Nothobranchius furzeri: one gene and its partner. The protein of the gene in region 1 purifies or fractionates together with the protein of each later gene. This does not show direct contact. Links are inferred from orthologs where the notes say so. Each region holds a gene or a part of one and is shown in the gene's direction. Other genes may lie near its edges. The genes, in order: pdpk1b and sdc2.

Region 1 (3,344 bases):
CAAATCTTGTGAGGGTCAGATTTCAAAAGTTTTTTTTTTTTTTTTTTTTACTAAATCAAGAAATTGAACCCCAATTGTGAGTTCATCCTTAAAATTTCCTTTTTTGCAGCGAGGGCAAACTCCTTTGTTGGAACAGCACAATATGTGTCTCCAGAGCTGTTGACTGAAAAATCCGCCTGCAAGAGGTAGAACCGTTTGTGTTCTGGTTATTCAAATTTCAGGTTTCACTTCTGTAAGTGAATCATTCTTTTTTCTCCAAGCTCTGACCTGTGGGCCTTGGGATGTATAATCTATCAACTGGTGGCTGGTTTACCACCATTCAGAGCAGGGTGAGTACTGATGGGATACTTCTGTAATGGTATTGCAATGTTTCAAAGTGCTTCATGGCATACCTAAATGTTTTTCGAGACTTAATTTACTATTAAAATGTTTTCCTAAACACTTGTTTATTTTTTCTAAAGTACATCTGAAACACTTTGGCACCCACATTTAATCTGTTTCTCAGTGACCTCTTCTGTCACTGAGGTGGTTTGGTTAAGCGTCTGAGCCACACGGCGATTCTCGTGAATAGGAAGCTAAACTGGTTCTTTTCTTTAATTAAAACTAAAACGCAAGCTGTTTTTATACTGCAGGTGGTACAAATGTCCCTGGTAATAAAATGTTTTGGATGATCATTTTTAAGTCAGTTCTTCCAACGCATACGAACAATTCTGAACTTGATAGAGTTTTTAAAACCTTATCAGCAGGCAGGAACTGGTATTTAGGATTCATTTGTTTTGAAATTGTTGTGCAACAAGTGCTAAGAGCAAATTACTTGTTTTATTATTTAATTTGTGATTCTTCTTCTTTCTCACATTATAGAAACGAGTACCTAATATTCCAGAAGATAATAAAATTGGAGTATGAATTTCCAGAGAAGTTCTTCCCCAAAGCCAAGGATCTTGTTGAGCAACTTTTGGTCGGTTATCCACCACAGCCGTTTTACTTCTACCTCGGCCCCTTTGTTGTCTGGGGGCAGATGTGCTAGTTTTGGGGTTTTATTTAGTTGTTGTCTGATCTGTTTGCTCTTTAGTCACTGGACCCCTCCAAGCGGCTTGGATGTGAAGAGATGGGAGGGTACGGCCCACTGCAGCATCATCCTTTCTTCGACACCATTTCCTGGAGCGACCTACACCTCCAGACACCCCCTAAGCTTACGCCCTACCTGCCAGCTATGTCAGAAGATGACGAGGACTGCTATGGAAATGTAAGATATACCCCCCCCCAGTCCTAAGTAGTTTTTTTTTAATCATTCCTTTTATGCCTGGACCACACTGTACAATTTTCGGTCGTCTTAGCCAAATCATGCTCTGCTGGAGCGGGACGTCCTGCAGTCTGCCTACCTTGTACCGTAAAGCGTGCCATCTTTCTGGAGTCCTCACCGTGTGACATGAGCAATCCTGTGTGATGGCCAAAAAGCACACAGTGTGGTCCCGGCTTTAAGGACATTGCAAACTGTAAATCTGACTTTTGTTCTTTCATCCCTTGTTGCATCATGAATCTCAGTACGATGACCTCCTGAGCCAGTTCAGCAACATGCAGGTGGCCCCTTCACACTCCTTGTCGCCACTCGACCCCACACCGCCACAAAGATCCAGCAGCAACATTGAACAGTACATCCACGACCTGGACAACAACTCCTTTGAGCTAGATCTGCAGTTCACTGATGAAGAAAAGAAACTATTGCTGGACAAACAGACTACTGGGAACGCCTGGTAGTTTCCGTTTTTGTCTTGCTTTGAAAAGTTGTTTGCTGTCAGACTTGGCTCATCTTCAAGAAATGTGAAAGGAGTTATGATGGCTCAACCATGCACGCTTGTGTTTGTTTACACAGGCACCAGTTTGTAGAGAATAATCTGATCCTCAAAATGGGCCCAGTGGATAAACGCAAGGTCGGTGGGATTTCTATGTCTTATGATTAACTGTTTGCACAAGTCTGGCTTTAACCCTAAACTTTTATCAGGGAACTCTTTGCTCTGGTTGTTGAACCTCTTGCATTGTGCTGAGGAAAGCCCTACAGGCCCCGCGGCCCCCTCTGTTGGTGAACTCATGTTTTGAAATGTTTGCATTCCGTGCCAGGGTCTGTTTGCTCGCCGGAGACAGCTGCTCCTCACTGAAGGACCACACCTGTACTACGTGGATCCTGTCAACAGAGTCCTGAAAGGGGAGATTCCTTGGTCCTTAGAGTTACGCCCAGAGGCCAAGAACTTCAAAACCTTCTTTGTTCACACGGTAAACAAAGATTTATTTCGGAAGTCTTGCAAATATTTCTCCAGCAGCCTGCTCATACTTGCTCATTGTTTGGAGTCTCGTCACACATGTTTTTCTTTCTCTTTTGGTGTTTAGCCAAACCGAACATACTATTTGATGGACCCCAGTGGAAATGCAGACAGATGGTGCAAGAAGATCCAAGAAGTATGGAGAAAGATCTATCAAAGGCACCAAAACCCTGGCCTATAGGAGCACATTTCATCCTGTGCCCACTCCCTTTTAGCTCTGAGGCCAATCACTGAGCAGAGTAACACCCTCTTTAGTGCCCTTCATCACCGCATTGTAAACAAACTCTTAGAGACGCTGGCATCTAGATCTTGTTTGTTTTCCTGAGTAGATCCAGGGGAGAAACACAGCTTTGGATTCAGGGTTGCTTTGCTTGTTCTTTGTGCTCTCTGTGAGGCTTCTCTTGCATATTTTTTCCCATGTATGGATGACAAGATTTCCATTATTCACATCTGCATTTTGTACATTCTGCTTGGCAGGGACAGAGATGGGCAAGCTTGTCTTGTACAGTGACACAAGCTTGGGTACTGCTAGGACCATCCCAAATACAAAGACTGGTTTCCTGCTTCATCGATAAAACAAAATCTAGCTTTTATGAACTGGAGCCTGATTATATATCTTAATTAAACCATATCCATAATCATACACAATATGTGCAAGCTGTAGAAAAGCCCAACTTTTAGTGCGTGTACTCCATATTTGTAACAGATACTGTAAACTGATTCAGTTTCACCTTTATCCAACTCAAACCTCACTTTTGTCTGAACCCAATGCGTATTTAAGTTTTTGCTTTTTCATGTCCTTTTCCAATCTCTTGGTACTTGCTTATTGCAGTCCAGTAAAGGTGTCAGTGTAACGAAGCAGATCTGCAGTAAAGTTGGCCTGGACTAGCATGTAAGGGTGAGCCATTCATAGCTGATGCTGAAGATGTTTTTGTTAACGGGGCATAAACACGCCACTAGCTTGTTCTGCTTAAATCATCACTTGCTTATTTTTCCAGCATGGCCAGTTTTGTAACTCATCTTTGT
Region 2 (3,918 bases), on another chromosome or scaffold:
TTAAGGTTTGAACTCGGTTTTCCGTCTCCTGATGAGAGCCACTGCCTGTCCAGCTGAGCTTCCTAAACAAGTTCAGGTCTCCTCCCACGGGATATGTGGAAGCTAAAGTCAGGTTTCCATGGTAACGGATGCTGAACACATCAGCTGCTCCACAAGTGGAGTTATTTAGGATCTACTCAGTCAGGAGGATGTACCCGAAACTGGAGATCAATGATAACAAAGTTTACCACTTTAGAGGAATGTGTTTGAATGTGGTTACCATGGAAACTCTCTGGCTCCACAGGATAGAAAGTCACACCTTAACCTGCTGGAGGCAGGATCAGAGGAATATGGTCCAGAGTAGACAGGTGTGTAAGGACTCTCTGCAGGTTCCTCCTCTGTGTCCATCAGGAGGATGGTTCCTGCGGTTCCGAGCCGTGGTTGCTCCTGGGTAACCATGATGGATCTGTGCCCTGGTGGCAGAAGCTGGAAGAGGCACTGCCCTGGGTGTGATGGTCCTGTGAGATGTTCGTAGCTCTCCAGCAGCAACAGGAGATGTTGGTGTCTTTCAGGGTGAGGAGGGTCCAGCCCTGATGACCCTGTGAAGAGCTTTTTTCTCTTAGGGAGTACAGTTGCTGTACCACACACACACACACACACACACACACTGCGGCGCGAGCAGCAGATCTGTAGTAAGGTGGTCTTCGGTCATCTTAGCTTCTCTGCCTCTGTGGAGGAGGCTGAGGAACAGAACAGTTAGTCCACCATCAGCATGTGTGTGTTCCTGCTGTTCCAGATGTAGCAGACCGGTGTGTGTGTGTGTGTGGGGGGGGGGGGGGGGGGGGGACATGGCATCCTCTGCTGGTTCTGCAGGCAGACTGGTGAAGGTCCAGGGTGGGTTGCTCCTTATGAAAACCTGTTTTAGGTTCTCCTACAGCTGACCCGGTTCTGCTGAAGTTCCGGGTTTTCACCGGCAGGGGGAGACTTTGTCCGTGATGGTGCGACGGCAGCCTCACAACCAGGGTCCGCTCCTATTCGCTCAGCCGCGATGCGATCCGGCTGGAAGCGGAGATACACACGGAGGAGGAGTTTATCTCCTGAGAGGAGGTGTTGGATTACAAGCTCCACCCACTCAGCGCGCCGCTTCTTCCGCCGGTTGTTTAATGAGGCGGAGCTTGTCCCTGATCAGCTGATTGGAGCAGGTTATTTATGTTTCTTTCTTCTGCATTTACTTTGTTTGTTTACTTGTTGTTGGCTCGTGCTCGCTACTCCCCCTACGTCTGATTGTAACTCACATGAGCGCGCACGGTTGTGCTCGTGCTCAGTGCGTGCGCACAAGGAGCGAGCGACGTGTCTCGTGCAGATTTGTGCTGCGGAGGATCTGCACACTCACGCGCTCATTTGTCTCAGTCAGATTCTCCGAGCTGAAAAGCTGCGAGGAGGAGGAGGAGTCCAGAATCCGGTGGACCCTGAGGAACGGGAGCTCCGGGAGCTGCAGGAATACCGGACCCGAACCTCAACCGAGCAGCGACGATGAGGAGCGGCTGGATCCTTCTGAGCGTCGCGCTGAGCGGCTTCTTCTGCGGAGGCTCGGTGAGTCCGGAGCCGCGGCCCGGTAAAAAGTTCCTGCGGGTCCGCGGAGCCACTGGGGGTTCGGCAGGCTTCACACGGGGGGGGGGGGGGGGGTATGGGGGGGTCTAAGTTGCTGTGGGTAGAATGTGACAACAGTGTGCAGTGCACGCGCTGTGTTACAGAGCTTGTGTGTGTGTGCGTGTGTGTGTGTGTGTGTGTGTGTGTGTGTGTTACTCTTCATCACTGATGCTCTGACTTGTTGCTCAGAGCCTCCTCTTCCTCAGATCTAATTCCATGTTTTAATGTCACTGTTGAATGTGAAGTCACCTCCACAGAACGTGTGTGTGTGTGCGCGCGCGTGTGTGTTCTAAATAGTGAGGAACACATCGGACTCTATGGTTCTAATTCGTGACATCATCTGGGTGCGGTGCGTCCCCTCTGGAGCTCTCAGGGTGAACTTTGACCCCGGGTTTATACTTCAGGCTGATGGTTCTGTCTCAACCCAGATGGTACGGTTCTGCCCTGAACCCACACGGACTGGTTGTTTGGTTATTCTACAGCGAAGAACCAACTGGCAGTAATGGAAGTGGTTCAGAGGTGTTCTGGTTCTGGTTCTGGTCTGCCTTGGCTGATACTGGACTCTGAGCACGGTGGGAGGCAATGATGAGGTCCGATTCGCTGGTACCGCTCAATCTGAAACAAGGGATATTTACACCCAACCACAAACAGGAAGTGAAATAAATAATCAACACCTGATCAAGTTCTAGGTTTTAGGTCCAGAACCAGAACCCAGCTCAGATGGAACATCTGGAAGCCATTTGGGTCTCCATCTGAATCTGTAGGTCTTTTTCACACACACACACACACACACACACACACACACACACACACACCATCCCCCCACCTCCCTTCTGTCATGCTGATTGGGAGGCTTTTATTTTGGCAGGAACCTTTGCTGACTCGCTCAGACTCACAAACAGGTTGTTGTTGTTGTTGTTTGTTGGGATTATTCGCGTGTTTCAGGTCTGTGTGTTTGGGTTCTGGTGTCGGGTCGGTTTAATGCTTTCTTCTGATTATGTTGTGAGAACTGCTGCAGTAGAAACTCGTTAGGTTCTCCTGGTTTTACTGCTCCTGTTTCAGGAGGAGGAGGAGGAGCAGCTGTGGTGACCTGCTCATTTGTTTACATTTGTTTGTGAGGAAGAAGCTTTTATTTTCCATCGGATCGGAGACGAAGGCTCCTGTTTGTTCGTGTCAACATCTGGAAGCAGCTGTTTGGTTTTCCCATCAGCTGATCTCCGTCTCACTGGAGGAATACTTTACACCCGACAGTTCACCAGAACGGATGCAGCGATCCTGGTTCTGGTTCTGACCCGCTGGTTCTGGTTCTGACCCGCTGATCCCGGTTCTGTGATTTTTAACAGAATACATTAAAATTCAAAGATACGTTATTAATCCCAGAGGGGAAGTAGAGTTCCTGGATCTAAACGTTCCTTAGTTATGAAGCTGGACTAAATGCTGCTCTCTGATTGGTTCCTACAGATCCTCCTGGTTCTCTGGTTCTGGTCGGCAGCAGAAACCAGTTGATTTCAAACCAGTGTAAACCAGTTAGCTTGGAGTAGATGTTCAGTGAACGGTCTGTGGCATGTTCAAGTTCGGTTCGTTAGAGTCACATGACCTCAGGGTCACATGACCATTGGATGGATCCGGGTTATCATCACGAGAGGAAACAGCTGAGTGTTCAGATCCGTTCTCCGGAGCCGAACTCCTGACCCGCAGAAGTAATTCCACATGGAATTTCCTGAGTCTGCTGATGTCAGGGCTGTAATCAGCAGCTCATGAATATTCAGAAGGTGGAGTTTGTCCCGTCCTGTCTAGACCTGGACCGCCTCCACATCCCAGGTGGGCCATGAGGAAGTGTGAGATGTTTGGGTGAAGACCAGCTCTCAGCCTGGTCCACATCAAAGCCAAACGAGACCAACAGTGGGCTGGCTTCCACCAGCCGCCGCCGCTGCTTCTGACATCGCAGGCTCGGCTGTCTGAACTCTGACCACAGAAAGCGGGCCGGGTCCAGACCCAGACGGTGACTCACGGTGCAGGAACGAGTGAGCTAACAGCGGTTAGACGCTCGGGTCGAGTTTCATGATCCAGCAGAACTCAGCTGGCTGAATCCGGTCCGGTTGGTTATTAATGGATCAGAACGTCTGGATTTGACTGATTTAATGGAACACATTCATGGTTCTGGTCTCTGACAGGTCTATGACACCAAACAGGTGACAGCGTGGAAACTCCGGGAGCTGTGACAGAATCTCAGAGGTAAAAGTCAAAGGTCACAGCTCCGTCTTTAGAGGGGATCATTTATTCTGGGAG

Evidence for each region.
Region 2: the proteins of pdpk1b (region 1) and sdc2 purify together in Homo sapiens (affinity purification with mass spectrometry; 4 studies listed by BioGRID and IntAct, counting the BioPlex papers as one, with this or other methods). This does not show direct contact. The link is inferred for Nothobranchius furzeri from reciprocal best matches to the Homo sapiens genes PDPK1 and SDC2.

What each region holds. Positions count from the first base shown.
Region 1 is NC_091756.1:32,805,258-32,808,601, forward strand, and holds the end of pdpk1b (3-phosphoinositide-dependent protein kinase 1), read left to right. Parts: intron 1-109; coding exon 110-185; intron 186-260; coding exon 261-329; intron 330-861; coding exon 862-958; intron 959-1,072; coding exon 1,073-1,246; intron 1,247-1,545; coding exon 1,546-1,754; intron 1,755-1,873; coding exon 1,874-1,931; intron 1,932-2,118; coding exon 2,119-2,271; intron 2,272-2,385; coding exon 2,386-2,499; 3' UTR 2,500-2,728; downstream 2,729-3,344. UniProt on the Homo sapiens protein: Serine/threonine kinase which acts as a master kinase, phosphorylating and activating a subgroup of the AGC family of protein kinases.
Region 2 is NC_091759.1:26,362,082-26,365,999, reverse strand, and holds the start of sdc2 (syndecan-2), read left to right. Parts: upstream 1-1,144; 5' UTR 1,145-1,181; intron 1,182-1,318; exon of another isoform or gene 1,319-1,389; 5' UTR 1,390-1,512; coding exon 1,513-1,572; intron 1,573-3,918. UniProt on the Homo sapiens protein: Cell surface proteoglycan which regulates dendritic arbor morphogenesis.